Drosophila melanogaster: one gene and its partner. The protein of the gene in region 1 interacts with the protein of each later gene in a pairwise test. Each region holds a gene or a part of one and is shown on either strand. Other genes may lie near its edges. The genes, in order: scb and Itgbn.

Region 1 (4,899 bases):
TTAATTGCATGCGAGAAAAAAAAAACGACAGTCTCAAAAAAAGAGTCAACATATTTAAATAGGCGAATAACAAGCACATGCCACTTTGGCTACCTGATCCAGAAATTGTTTATGCTGAATATAAAGTGGTGTGAGGCCTAAAAACAGTCAGCCAACATTTGTTTTGGACTGAACGTTCGGCGTATCTCAGCTGTAATACAAAGTATGGGTTGTCGCTTACGTATTTTCCCAAAACATGAGTCATGGCCAAGTAAACCATGTCTGCACACGCATCTGCCCCCAAGCCCCAACTTTTTCCATGGCCTTTGTGCATAACTACAGCGGTGGTCAATTCAGTGTGAGCAGAAATTAAACAGAAACTTAATAAATTGTATTACAACTGTTAACTTAATTTATTTTAGGAAGATTTGAATGACTTTTTGAAGAACTATATTTTTTTCACCATCTGTTTCACAAAACAGTCACCTTACAATTATAACCTATTAGTTATTAAAAAAATAAACTAACTTAAAGTATTTTAAAATATATTGCAACTTTATATATCTTTGCAAATTGTCTTCTAAAAAATAGTTGTATGGCATACAACAGCATGCTAACATAATTGAAATGTGAAATTTCTTTTAAATAGTATAATTTCGTTTGTAAAAGTACGCTTTTGGTGCGATGGCGCTTTGTTTAAATGCCGAACAAGGAACGTTTATCCGTTTTTGTGCGCGGACAATAAAACATCTTGCGGACCACACAAATCTCCAGCGCCATCTCCATCAGCCAAACAAAAACAAAGAACCGCTGCAGCGTGCGGTCATCAAATGTTAAGAACAAAAGCCACCATGCTGCACCGTTTTCCGTTGTGGAGTCTTCAGTGTTTTTTTTTTGTTTTTGTTATAAGGAATTCGGTTTAATGACCCAGCGTAAGACGGCTAAAAATATTTGTGTGTGGTGTCAGCTGAACGGACGAACTCTTCGGAGGGCGGGGATGCGGATGGGGGCAGGTCTGCAGACGCCATCGCCTCCAAATCGGATTGGAAACATTTGTGACTCATTTCGCCAGAATGCAAGTGGTGTTGGGAAACTGTGAGTGGATGCACTTCCCCCGCATTGGATTCGAATTCAGCCCTAATTTCATTGGGAGACCGTAAACAAGAACTACACTTTTTGTTTGTTTCAGCTAACTTCAATTGATGTGATATAAATTACGGCTTGTCGTGATTTTACGCGCAATTTCCGTACATAATTAGGCGCACTTCGTAATAGCCAAGAGTCATGGGTATTTTGGGATCCAAAGTGCTGGTAATACAAAAAAATGTAGGGGGGGGGGGAAGAGCGGGAACTGTAGAGGAAGTTCCAAATTACCCATCCAGGTTTATGGAAATAAAATATGGTCAAAAGCTAGCTCGTTATGATCGCGTACGAGTACTGCATTCAAACCAGGTTTACTGATCGCCTCAATTAAAACCAGATAAGGTTGTACTGACCAAGTAGTTCTTGTATCTAAGCTGTGGCCTGAATTTTGGCAAATACATAACCTCAACTACTCTAACATAAATTACAAAGCATGAACTATCATCTCTCTTTTTCGTTTAAGAGAGAATACAGAGTAGATATCTCGAGAATATCTTAAAAAGCGTATCTGAGCTTCGATCTGACCACTTTCTTCTTATTCAATTAACTGTGATTTGTGGCGCCGACTGAGGTGTGTGATGTCATTTTTTGGGGCCCGCAAACCAACAAAAGTAGCCGCCATATGATATGTAGGTCGCCCGACTCACTGAAAATTGTTCGGGTTTGTCAATTGTTCGAGACGGAGTTGCGATCTCTCGGATCTGTGGCAATTGTAGTTGAAGTAGACAGTTTCTTTTTTTTTTTGTTATTTTTAGAAAATTCGGTCTGAAGTGGTATTGCTTTCGAGAGGTTTTCAAGCTGGGGTTTTCGACATGCCATGAGAGTTCTGTCCCAAAACTCGAACAACCTATGCTGAGCACCCATTTACGACTTGGCGAAAATGACATTTTAATTTCTTGGCAAATAGAGCGACCGAGTGTTAAGTGCCAATAAACCACCCAAGCCGATACTAATTTTGTCGAGCCTCGACTTCTGTCGATCCCCTTTCGCAAGCTTCAGTTTCCATTTCCGTATGCCAGAAGTTTCAAAATATTGACAGAGGTGTGTTGGCTTGCAACTGAAAGCACTCGCTTGTCTTGCGTCAAACATAAGAAATATGTTGATCGGTTATCGAAATAAGTATGTTTTCGAAGTATGGAAGAATCTCCCTCCAGACCCTTACACGTATGTATGCAAATATTTGCCGCGATCTACAGCTGGAAAATAGGTAACTCACCTGGTCTGGCGGATGACAAGCGTGTATCCAAAGTAGGAGCTGCGAGTCTGGTTTATGTGGAACTTCAGATGCTTCGGGGAGTTTATCACCCGACTGGGTCGCGGCATAAAATTGAATGCTTCGATGTGAGAGATCAGAGCCAAGAGGGCGAGGAATATGTGAGGGAACATTGTCGATTCAGCATTCATTGGAACTCATCAAAATTAAGTTTTCGCATTCGTAATTTCGTAATTTTGGTAATTTCACTTGAATGGACCCCGGCTCTTCTGAGGGCAATAAATCACAATTGCGCCAGAGAGCCACACCACTGAAACAGGATCCGTTGGCACTCACTTATTTATGATTTATTGAATTTAATTGAAGCACTCACACACTCGAGATCGCTGCTGTATGGCGGCGGCGTTCTCTCGAAATTATATTAATTTAATTAAGCCCAGCCGGCGGCTTTCGCAAATCTCTCGCGAGATCTAGGTGGCAAACTTGTTTTGGCTCTTGTCACTTTTGCCGGCGACAAGTCGTTGTTAATCGCACTACTCGACCGCGCCGTATCTCTGCACTGATGTGTAGCTAATAGCTAATAAATAGCATATAGCATATAGCCTATAGCATATATGGTGTTTTATTTCCGCAACGCTAGTCCATAAACGGGGCAACAGATCAGTGCTGGACGTTTTCACTCTTCGACGACCCGAACCGAAATGAAATGAATTCAAGTGCTGCAGCAGACTTGGACGACCGTCGATTCTGCTGGCCGATGTGTCCACCCAACACGATGGTCGAAAGAGATGTTCTGACCTGCTGTAGTGTGTGTTTACAAACATGGTTGCGCTGAGATTTCTGATGATCATTGATAATAACAATAAAACTTTAAGGTTTTCAAATATATTTTTTTAGTATCTAATATATTGTTATAAGAACTATCTATATATAGTCTATTAGTGCTTTATATTTTATACCTACACTTGATTTTGTTTAACAATACTATGGTATATCTAGTACCGGTTTTTGTCAGTGCATTCTCAATTCGATTGCGACCATTTGTGGTGGTGGCTCTCCTTGTTCGCACGCTACTTGCATTTACACTCCCCCTACGCGTTTGCTGCACCCTCGCACACACACAAACGAACGCACACACACAAATAAACGCACACCCAAGTGCGAGAGTACAAGTAAGTGGGTAAAAAAGCAAACGCCTGTCACCATGGAGTTCCAACTGGGAGCCGTATTTTCTTATTAATACTCATTGAAGGAATCCCGACTTTATATATATGGAAACAGGCCAGCTTATTTGTTCCTCATCATCTGGTAGATTTGGTTATAATTAATATTTACAATGTTTTAAGGCTCATCAAGATCTGCACACTGAGAGAAAGGAAATTGTTTTTATGGAAATGTACTTGTTAGTTCGTAGTTATTGCACTTATTCCTAATTTATTTCTTATGTATTATACTTAAAAGATAAGTAATGTTTATTCTTTATTTAGTTCTACTTTTAAATAATCTACATTCGTATTTTAAAATATTTTCTCCGAGTGATTCCTTTTCGGGATGTGGATGAGTGCCAGTGGAAACGGAGAGCATATGGCGGACATAAAGGATGCCGATCACGATTCCCAGGCAAATGGCCACCCGAATTGAACGGCGTACTGCTGTCATTGAACTTGGCTGCCGTGGCATGGTGATCAAATGGCTTATCAGCGGGCCCCAGGGCAAATATTTATTGTAAGTATAAAGTAGTATATGCCCCTCGTGCTGCCTTATCCGTTCAACGTTTATCATTGGGGTAGGTTGGGTGGTGGTGACCACAATTTATTAACTTTACGATCCGGTGACATGAAATTGTGCCCAGCACGGGGGGTTCAGTGGTTCAGGGGTTCAATTAGATCGACAGGGGTGTACTCTAGTTGACTTTTCCTCCAGCTATCGGTTGCCTCAAGCTGATAAGTTGGAAAACCGCGCTTAGATCGCTGGCTGTTTGTGCGCCCAGTAATTGATTTTCATTTTCAACGCAGCCTGAGCCCGCCGTTTATCAAGTCAATGTAAAACAATAAAAACTAATAAAACAAAAGTGGGGTCTGAGGTCTGGCAAGTCGTTTCCACCGATAAGCGAAACTACAACAGCCGATTACGCGCCATAAAACTCAATTCACAAGTCGAATGCTCCCAATACGATTCATAAATAAAATTCTCTTTAAAAGTTCGAAAGTTGAATGTTTGCCAGCGATTCATTCGGGTAAACAAAAGAAGTTCAAAAGGGCGGCTAATTCGGTTTTCCAACGCCGCATAGCAAGTGTTTTTTTGGACCAGGCCGCTATTGAAATGCGCAATTAAGCGCCCGCCAGGCGATTTGACAGCAATTATGTGTTACTGCACGCCAGCAGCAACAACAGCGATTGCTGCAACAGCAGCAGCAACACGGCCGCAACTGCAGAAGGGGGAGGTGCCACGCCACACTGCCAGGCACATAATTGAAGTTCATGACCCCCCATCCTCCGCTATCGGGGGCAGCTATTTCTGGCGCACATCCCAGTCTCCAGATGCAACCAGTAGCGGCAACAAAA
Region 2 (7,515 bases), on another chromosome or scaffold:
AGGACATTAATGATTAATCCCAGCGTCGTCTGCTCTCCCCTATCGCTTTTTTGTTGTTTTTGTTGCTGTGCGTGTGCCGTTATTGGCGGTATAATCCAATAATCCAACACGAAACAGCGTGTGCAGTGGGAATTGCAAAAACTAGAGAGACACAGCCACACACACACAAACACATGTAGACTCAACCGCCTACACACACGCACACAGTTTAGCCGCTTTGTTTAGTAAATTAAACTTTTCACTTTTCTCTGCCACGGAAAACCAAAATGGACAATTTTCTTATTCAATTTCAGTTTCTGTTTTCCTTTCCTTAGTTTTTCTGCTTTCTTTTCTTATTTTTCCAATCACAAAAACACAGATTAGCATAGACAAAAGCAAAAGCAAAGGCAACAACATCCAAACACACAAAACAAAAGCAAATGCACGACGCCTACAACAACAGCAACAACAAAGCGCCGCCGTAGTACACAAAAAATTCCTTTTTCGCTGCGCGTCGTCTCCTTGCAGATATTCATATATATATATATATTTATTTATGTATGTATGTGTATATGTACATTTTTATATTCCACAGAGCAATTCTATTTTGCTTACTTTTTTAATGACTTTTTCACCTTTGATTTTTTTGCCGCACTTTAATTTGACTGCATACTTTACATCTCCATCTCTATCGCACACTCACCGTTTAATTGAGAAAAACACACACGATCTCGTCAATTGGTCGCGTATTTGTCGCCGCTCATTTGGTAAACATTTGGAGTTTTTCATCCGATTTTCCGCTACAAACACAAAAAATGCGAAACTCCGCGCTCCGCTCCAAAGCTGAACCGTTCCGATTGAAAATCGTCCGCTGTACGACCCCGCGATTTGAAAATTTTTCGCCGACTGGCCGTTTCATGAGTGTTTCAGTATTTTGCTGCGTCTTTTTACCCACGATTTTGGTCACACTACTGCGCCATCCATCTCTTGTTCACACAGCCATTTCATAAAATGAAAGAAGAGGACAACAACATAATGGTAAAAATGTTTTTTCTCCGCGGGGTTGGTCACAGGATAGTAAGACCATGGCTCGGCTGGAGAATTATACCGCCCGAAGAGAGTAAGAGAGCACTAACTTAAGACCAGTTTTGACAAATTGAGCCTAACAGTGTGACCAGTAATTTCCTAATAAAATCGTTATTCTGACTTATATATTAAATAATTTAAATTCTATTTTACGTTTAAAATCATAAAAGCAATCTGAAAAACACAAGACTAACATTATGCCAACCGATAGTCCTATTCATTGTGTTATTTAATACAAATTTTTCTAAGAGAAGACTTGCACTAAATGAACAAAATTTTTTTTATTAAATTTGTATAGTTTTGCTTATGTGTAGCTGTTGGTTTGTTGTTGTTTGCTTTAGACTCTTTCATATGAATTCGTCTTGGTTTATTTTAGTATTTTCGGTCCCTTACAAGCTCTGACGGCTACAAAACTTGTGGCTCCACATATTTAAAGTACAAATATGTAACCCCTTCTCTACCATTAAATGGGAGCTGGTCTATAATATATTTCTAATGGGATGGAATTTTTAAAACAACTAGACATAAAAGTATACTTTAAGGTTTTGATTGTGACTAAATATGATATCTAAATAAATAAAGAAATGGATCTCCAAATAAATATACATATATTATGTATATACTTTCCAAACACTAATATTTATTTAAACAAAACATAAGAACGATAGCAGTGCATTTTTTATGTCTTAAAATGTAGTGAGTTAGACAACACGTGAATGAAATTTGCTTTCTTTTATTATCACTTATTACTCTCATTTATTTTTAAGAGTGCCATTTATTCTAATCACATCATTTTCCCAATAACTTCTCACATTTTTTGTCACTCTCTCCTGATAAGATACGAGCGGAGCAATCAACGTTTTTCGTACTGAACAAATATTAGTTACGCTGGACTTCTAAGGCCGAACGGTCGCTAGCTCCCTTAGCAAAAAAAATATATGTGATCGTTGGTAGTGAAAATTGCACGCATTTTGAAAATGACGTCACTGGGCGGAAGGGCGTTCTTGTGGATATATTTGGTTTTTCTAATAGCTGAGATCTCTCATTCGGATGCAGATTCAATTGGTTTGTTAGCCGGCAGCTTTGACGTGACATAACGGATTTGTTATCGCCATCTCTTTTACGCAGATGATCAGTGCAGGCACGCAGACAGCTGCGAAAGATGTTTATCCGCTCATCTGGAATGCGCTTGGTGCACGGACAAGGTGAGTACGAGGGAGATGGCAAGAAAACATAAACGGTTCCTACTGCTGCTGTCATCCTTGCGAAGTCAATCATTTTCCTATTTGGTTGCATATCAGGAATACCAGGTGGGATATCGTTGTCTCTCTCGCCGGCAACTACTTAACTACAACTGCAGTGAAACGGATATATACGAGAACCAGCCGGTCCTAGATGTCCTTCAGGATAAGCCCCTAAAGGACTACGAAACCAGTGATCAGGCTGTCCAAGTCACACCCCAGCGGGCATACCTTAAGTTGGTCAAAGGTGTGTGTTTGGATAATTGTTTTATTTAGCTTTTCTTATCTTATCAAATTTGATTTATCATGTGGCTACCAACACTTTTTCATGTGTGTCACCCTTCCAATTCTTCCCCACTACTTCGTATTTGTTCCACATTTGCTCCACATCATTTTTAAACATTTTGTTTTTGTGTCCGTGCTTTGCTTATCAGGCCTTGGTGGTTGTCACATCTTGTTATTGTTGTACCATTTAGCGTGGGAATACCTATCCCTCTCTTTCTTTCCGCCGTCCTTGTCCAACACTTTTGAAAGTTCACTGACCCAAAGACATTATAATAATTATAATCTAATGTCTGATTGAAAACCCACTTTATAGGTATTGAGATACTTACCTTATAAGTATTGTGATCCCAGAACTAATAGATTATGTATTCGTTGTCGTGCTGAATAAGCGAGCAAAAATGAGTCACAAGAATGTGCTTTTGTTGTTTATAAGTTTTCTCGAGGGTTGAATAATATTTCAATGAGTAAAACGCGATTAATTTCAAAAAAAAAAAAACATACATTAATATTTTGGAGCTTTGATCCGGAAATACTCAACTAATTTCTACATATATCACTAACTTCTAAGATTAAATCACAGAAAACCACAACCTATAATTGTATTTTATTATTTTTAGTTGTTAACCCATTTTGGGGTAGTTATTTTTAGCATACAGACCCAACTAGCACTTTTATTCCTTAGTCTCCATAATGCATTTGCGTTTATCTCAATTGATATGGTGCTAAGTTGTTTTCATCGAGCCGCATTTTGATGTCTGTCAATAATTTTGATTCTCCAAGAGCTTGTTAACCAATTTAATAACCATTAGCATCGCTTGCGTAGAAATCTAGCTAGGTTAAGAAAACCAGTTATTAAGCACAAACAGTGGTATAGGGAAGTCGGTTAATTGCACGCTTAAGGATTACAAGGAAGCCAAACATTTATCCTGGGTGTGAACTGGCTCAAGTGGTAATCAATGGTTACAAAGCAGCAGTGAAGTGCACAGAGAAAATGAGTTGACACGCAATATTTCTTTTCATCTTTGACGAAAAATTATTTATTTATTTTAAATATTAACAGAACTTTTTTCTCAAAGGCCGACATAAAATTGAGTGCTTTAAAATGTAACACCCTAAAATGCACTTCAGTGAATACTTAATTTAAAAAGCTATAGTTTTTCTCACTGCGAGACTGAAATGGGTGCAGAATATATATCAGACTGGTTTCAGCTTATGTAGATGTGTCAGCCCATAAAACAGCTCATAAACAAGGTTGCCTTTCAGGTGCATAGTAAACCGATCTATTACCTTTTATTCCTTTTTGTCTTACAGGAAACACGCAAAGAATGAAGCTGAGCTATAGAACTGCACGCAACAATCCACTCGATTTGTACGTATTGATGGATCTAACCTGGACAATGAGGGATGACAAGAAAACCCTGGAGGAGTTGGGAGCCCAACTCAGTCAGACTCTTAAAAATCTAACAGGAAACTACAGATTGGGATTTGGTTCTTTCGCGGACAAGCCAACTCTACCCATGATTCTGCCACAGCATAGGGAAAACCCCTGTGCTGCGGAGCGGGCCACGTGTGAACCAACCTATGGATATAGACATCAACTTTCGCTAACCGATGATATACCAGCGTTCACCTCAGCCGTGGCGAACAGCAAAATCACTGGAAACTTGGACAATCTCGAAGGTGGCTTGGATGCTCTAATGCAGGTTATAGTGTGCACCAAGGAAATCGGCTGGAAGGAACAAGCTCGAAAAGTGGTGATCTTAGTGACCGATGGCTTTATGCACTTAGCGGGGGACGGTCTTCTAGCAGGTATTATCCAGCGCAATGATAAGCAGTGTCACCTGAATAAAGCAGGTGAGTACACGGGTTCATTGAACTACGACTACCCCTCGCTGGAAGAAATCTATCGGGAGTTGCTTCGTCGCAAGATTAATGTAATCTTTGCTGTCACCGAGGAGGTTGTAAGTAGCTATTGGGAACTCAGTGCCCTAATGAAGGAAATTAGTTACGTGGACATCCTAAGTGCTGATTCCTCTAATATATTGGAACTAATCAAAAAGAGGTAAGTGGGGCGGTAGTACTCTTCTTAGATCCTAAATCTCATTAGTTCTACCTTTTAGCTATGAGAGTTTGATTAAACGCACTCAGTTTGCCGATAACAGCCCGGATTTTATTGACATGGCTTACTATACGGATTGCGGTGGTCAGTTTCCCAGCTTACAAAAGCGGAATTACTGCAATAACGTCACTCTGGGCAAGCAGATTGATTTCTACGTGGACGTCACTCTCAAGAAATATCCCGATAATCAGGTTTATGTAAGACAAACAATACTAAGTGGAAAACAACAATTTAATTCAAGGATAATCTTTTGGATATATGTTTGCACAGTTCACTTACCACTTCATTCTCTTTCGCTTTTAGACACACAAAATCCGGGTGGAGGAAACCTCCTTGAGCGAGTTCATGGATTTGGATGTTGAGCTTCAGCGGCCGTGTCCCTGTCAGGAAACACCAGATCCGGAAAACGAGGAAGGACGTTTCCTGTGCGATTATAAGGGCTATTTGTACTGCGGAATGTGCGAATGCGATGAGGGGTGGACTGGGACCTATTGCAACTGTCCCACAGATGCCACAAATGTCACCAGCAATGAAGCTCTGCTCCAGAAATGCCGTCAACCGTTTTCGGATAAATCCACCTCCGAATTGGTTTGCTCCAATCACGGGGACTGTGACTGCGGAACTTGCTTGTGTGATCCTGGATATACGGGTCCTTTTTGCGAGTGTCGCGAATGCCTGGACTGCGATGAAAAGCTGGCTGATTGTTTCTGCGGCCAATGCGTTTGCAAATACGGATGGTCGGGTAGCAAATGCAACTGCGATGGGGATACCGATGCCTGTGTGGGACCCACGGGCGAAATATGCTCGGAAAGAGGCACCTGCCAGTGCGAGGAGTGCCAGTGTGAGGAGCCGTATTTGGGTAAATTCTGTGAAATCGATCCAGAGAAGGACAACAAACTTTGTTTGTTCTACGAGCCCTGTGTCACATGTCTGATCGAGCAAAAACAGGGAATGGGCGTCTGCGAAAACTTGACTGAAATATGCAGCAGTTTGGATAGACAAGAAACCTATCCATACAACTTTGTCCACGAGCTGGATCCTGAGCAGGATCAATGCTTGGTACGACTGGTGAACAAACATGGCATCCAATGCGACAGCTTCTTCGTCTATCAGGTCATCGACCACTCAAACTTCTTGACCATCCAGGCAGTTGATTGCGAGCCCCCGGATTACGTGGCTCTGGTGGGATATATATCGGCATTTACGCTGCTCATTGGACTTTTGATCATTTTCATAATTCTGTGGTACATTCGAGCTAAGGATGCCAGGGAATATGCCAAGTTTGAGGAAGATCAGAAGAATAGTGTCCGACAGGAGAATCCAATTTACAGGGATCCAGTGGGTAGATATGAAGTGCCCAAGGCGCTAAGTGTTAAGTATGATGAGAATCCTTTCGCAAGTTAACATGAAAAATGTTTTTTTTTTAAGATATTAGATTGTACTTTGACTTAAAATTTTCTTCAAAATTTGTGTATACCCGTTACTCGTAGAGTGAAATTATACACTAGATTCGCGTTGAAAAGTATGTAACCGGTAGAAGTAAGCGTTTCCGTTCATATTTTAGTTTTAGTTTATTTTCTTGATCACAATACATAGCCGAATTGATCTGGCCTTGTCTGTCCGTCCGTCCGTTTGTTTTTTTTTTTTTCTAATTTTGTTCCCATTTTCTGTCGGTATTCCAAAAAATCTCTCCTTCGCATTTTTACTTGATGAGTAATGGATAGCTGATATTCGGTTAACTCGACTATAGCATTCTCTCTTGTTTTTAAGCTATTGTAACTCAAGAATTACGAGTTCACGAAGACATTAATACAAATATAAATTTTAGGTGTTTATTAAAAAGTATTAGCCCCGTTCAGAAATAACATTCCAATTCCAAGACTGGTCACAACAATAGCACTATTAAGATCAATAATTTTATATAATATATTTAGAACATAAATTTGTTTTTTATACATAGAAATTATATGAATTAGTTCAAAAACTCGTGTATATCTACGCTAAATGAGCTAAAATTTATTACAGCTAAAAAACGAGTAAACGTATAACAAAGTTAGCTTTCAGTTTTCGTATTGGACAGCTCCTTTCAGCGATTGTATTCATATAAGTACAAAAATAATGGCTTAAGACATCGTTTACATTAATCCGCTTGGGGAGTATAGATGACTACTGGCAAATCGGAAATGCAAAACATTACCTTAACTTAAGAGGCATTACAAAAATACAATTCGATTAATTAAGGCTAAACGCTTTCCCCTTCAATCTACTTTAACTAAATATAATATCACTAGATTCGTAGCTTAGACTAAGTATTGGTTCCTCGCGGCCAAAACGCCAAAAACACGAAATTCAATTACACATGCTCGTACCTCCACGTTGGAAAAAGAATAATGTAAATACAACAACAGCAGTGGATGATGCGCCCTTGGTGTTGGGCGCTCAAAGGACTCGCTCCCCCAGCGACGGTGTCCTTTGGATGAGCATCGAGGGTGGCTTCGCCGGCAGAGTAACGCTACTTAGCTCAGCATCCAAAGCGGCGATATCGGCGGCCGTCAACTTGGAATTGGAGTTCAGCGGTACGGTGGGAACGGCTATGGAGCTGGGCAGGCCGTGTGGGGAGGCGTCGGGCACCAGGCGCTTCAACAAGCCACCCACGCAGCCCCAGGGGAAGGTCCTGCGAAAAACAAGGAGGGTGGGTGAGTAAAGGTGGGCCCAGGCAAAGGTAAATATTGTGCATTATTTAGGAGAAACACATTAAAGCGAGACCATTAGGCATGTGGACGGGGTGCGCTATGATTTGGGGTA

What was found.
Region 2: the proteins of scb (region 1) and Itgbn interact in binary tests that used the Drosophila melanogaster proteins (3 or more experiments, as listed by UniProt).

What each region holds. Positions count from the first base shown.
Region 1 is NT_033778.4:15,246,923-15,251,821, reverse strand, and holds the start of scb (scab), read right to left. Parts: upstream 3,039-4,899; 5' UTR 2,527-3,038; coding exon 2,339-2,526; intron 1-2,338. UniProt on the Drosophila melanogaster protein: Integrin alpha-PS3/beta-PS is a receptor for laminin. Also binds to wb. Important during embryogenesis for the development of the trachea, dorsal vessel and salivary gland, as well as for dorsal closure. Required for short-term memory processes.
Region 2 is NT_033779.5:21,051,092-21,058,606, forward strand, and holds Itgbn (integrin betanu subunit), read left to right. Parts: upstream 1-1,941; 5' UTR 1,942-2,042; coding exon 2,043-2,130; intron 2,131-2,193; coding exon 2,194-2,270; intron 2,271-2,366; coding exon 2,367-2,553; intron 2,554-3,902; coding exon 3,903-4,653; intron 4,654-4,711; coding exon 4,712-4,907; intron 4,908-5,013; coding exon 5,014-6,114; 3' UTR 6,115-6,953; downstream 6,954-7,515. Other genes in the region: CG42238 (uncharacterized protein), read right to left, coding at 683-768; CG9265 (uncharacterized protein), read right to left, coding at 7,150-7,384.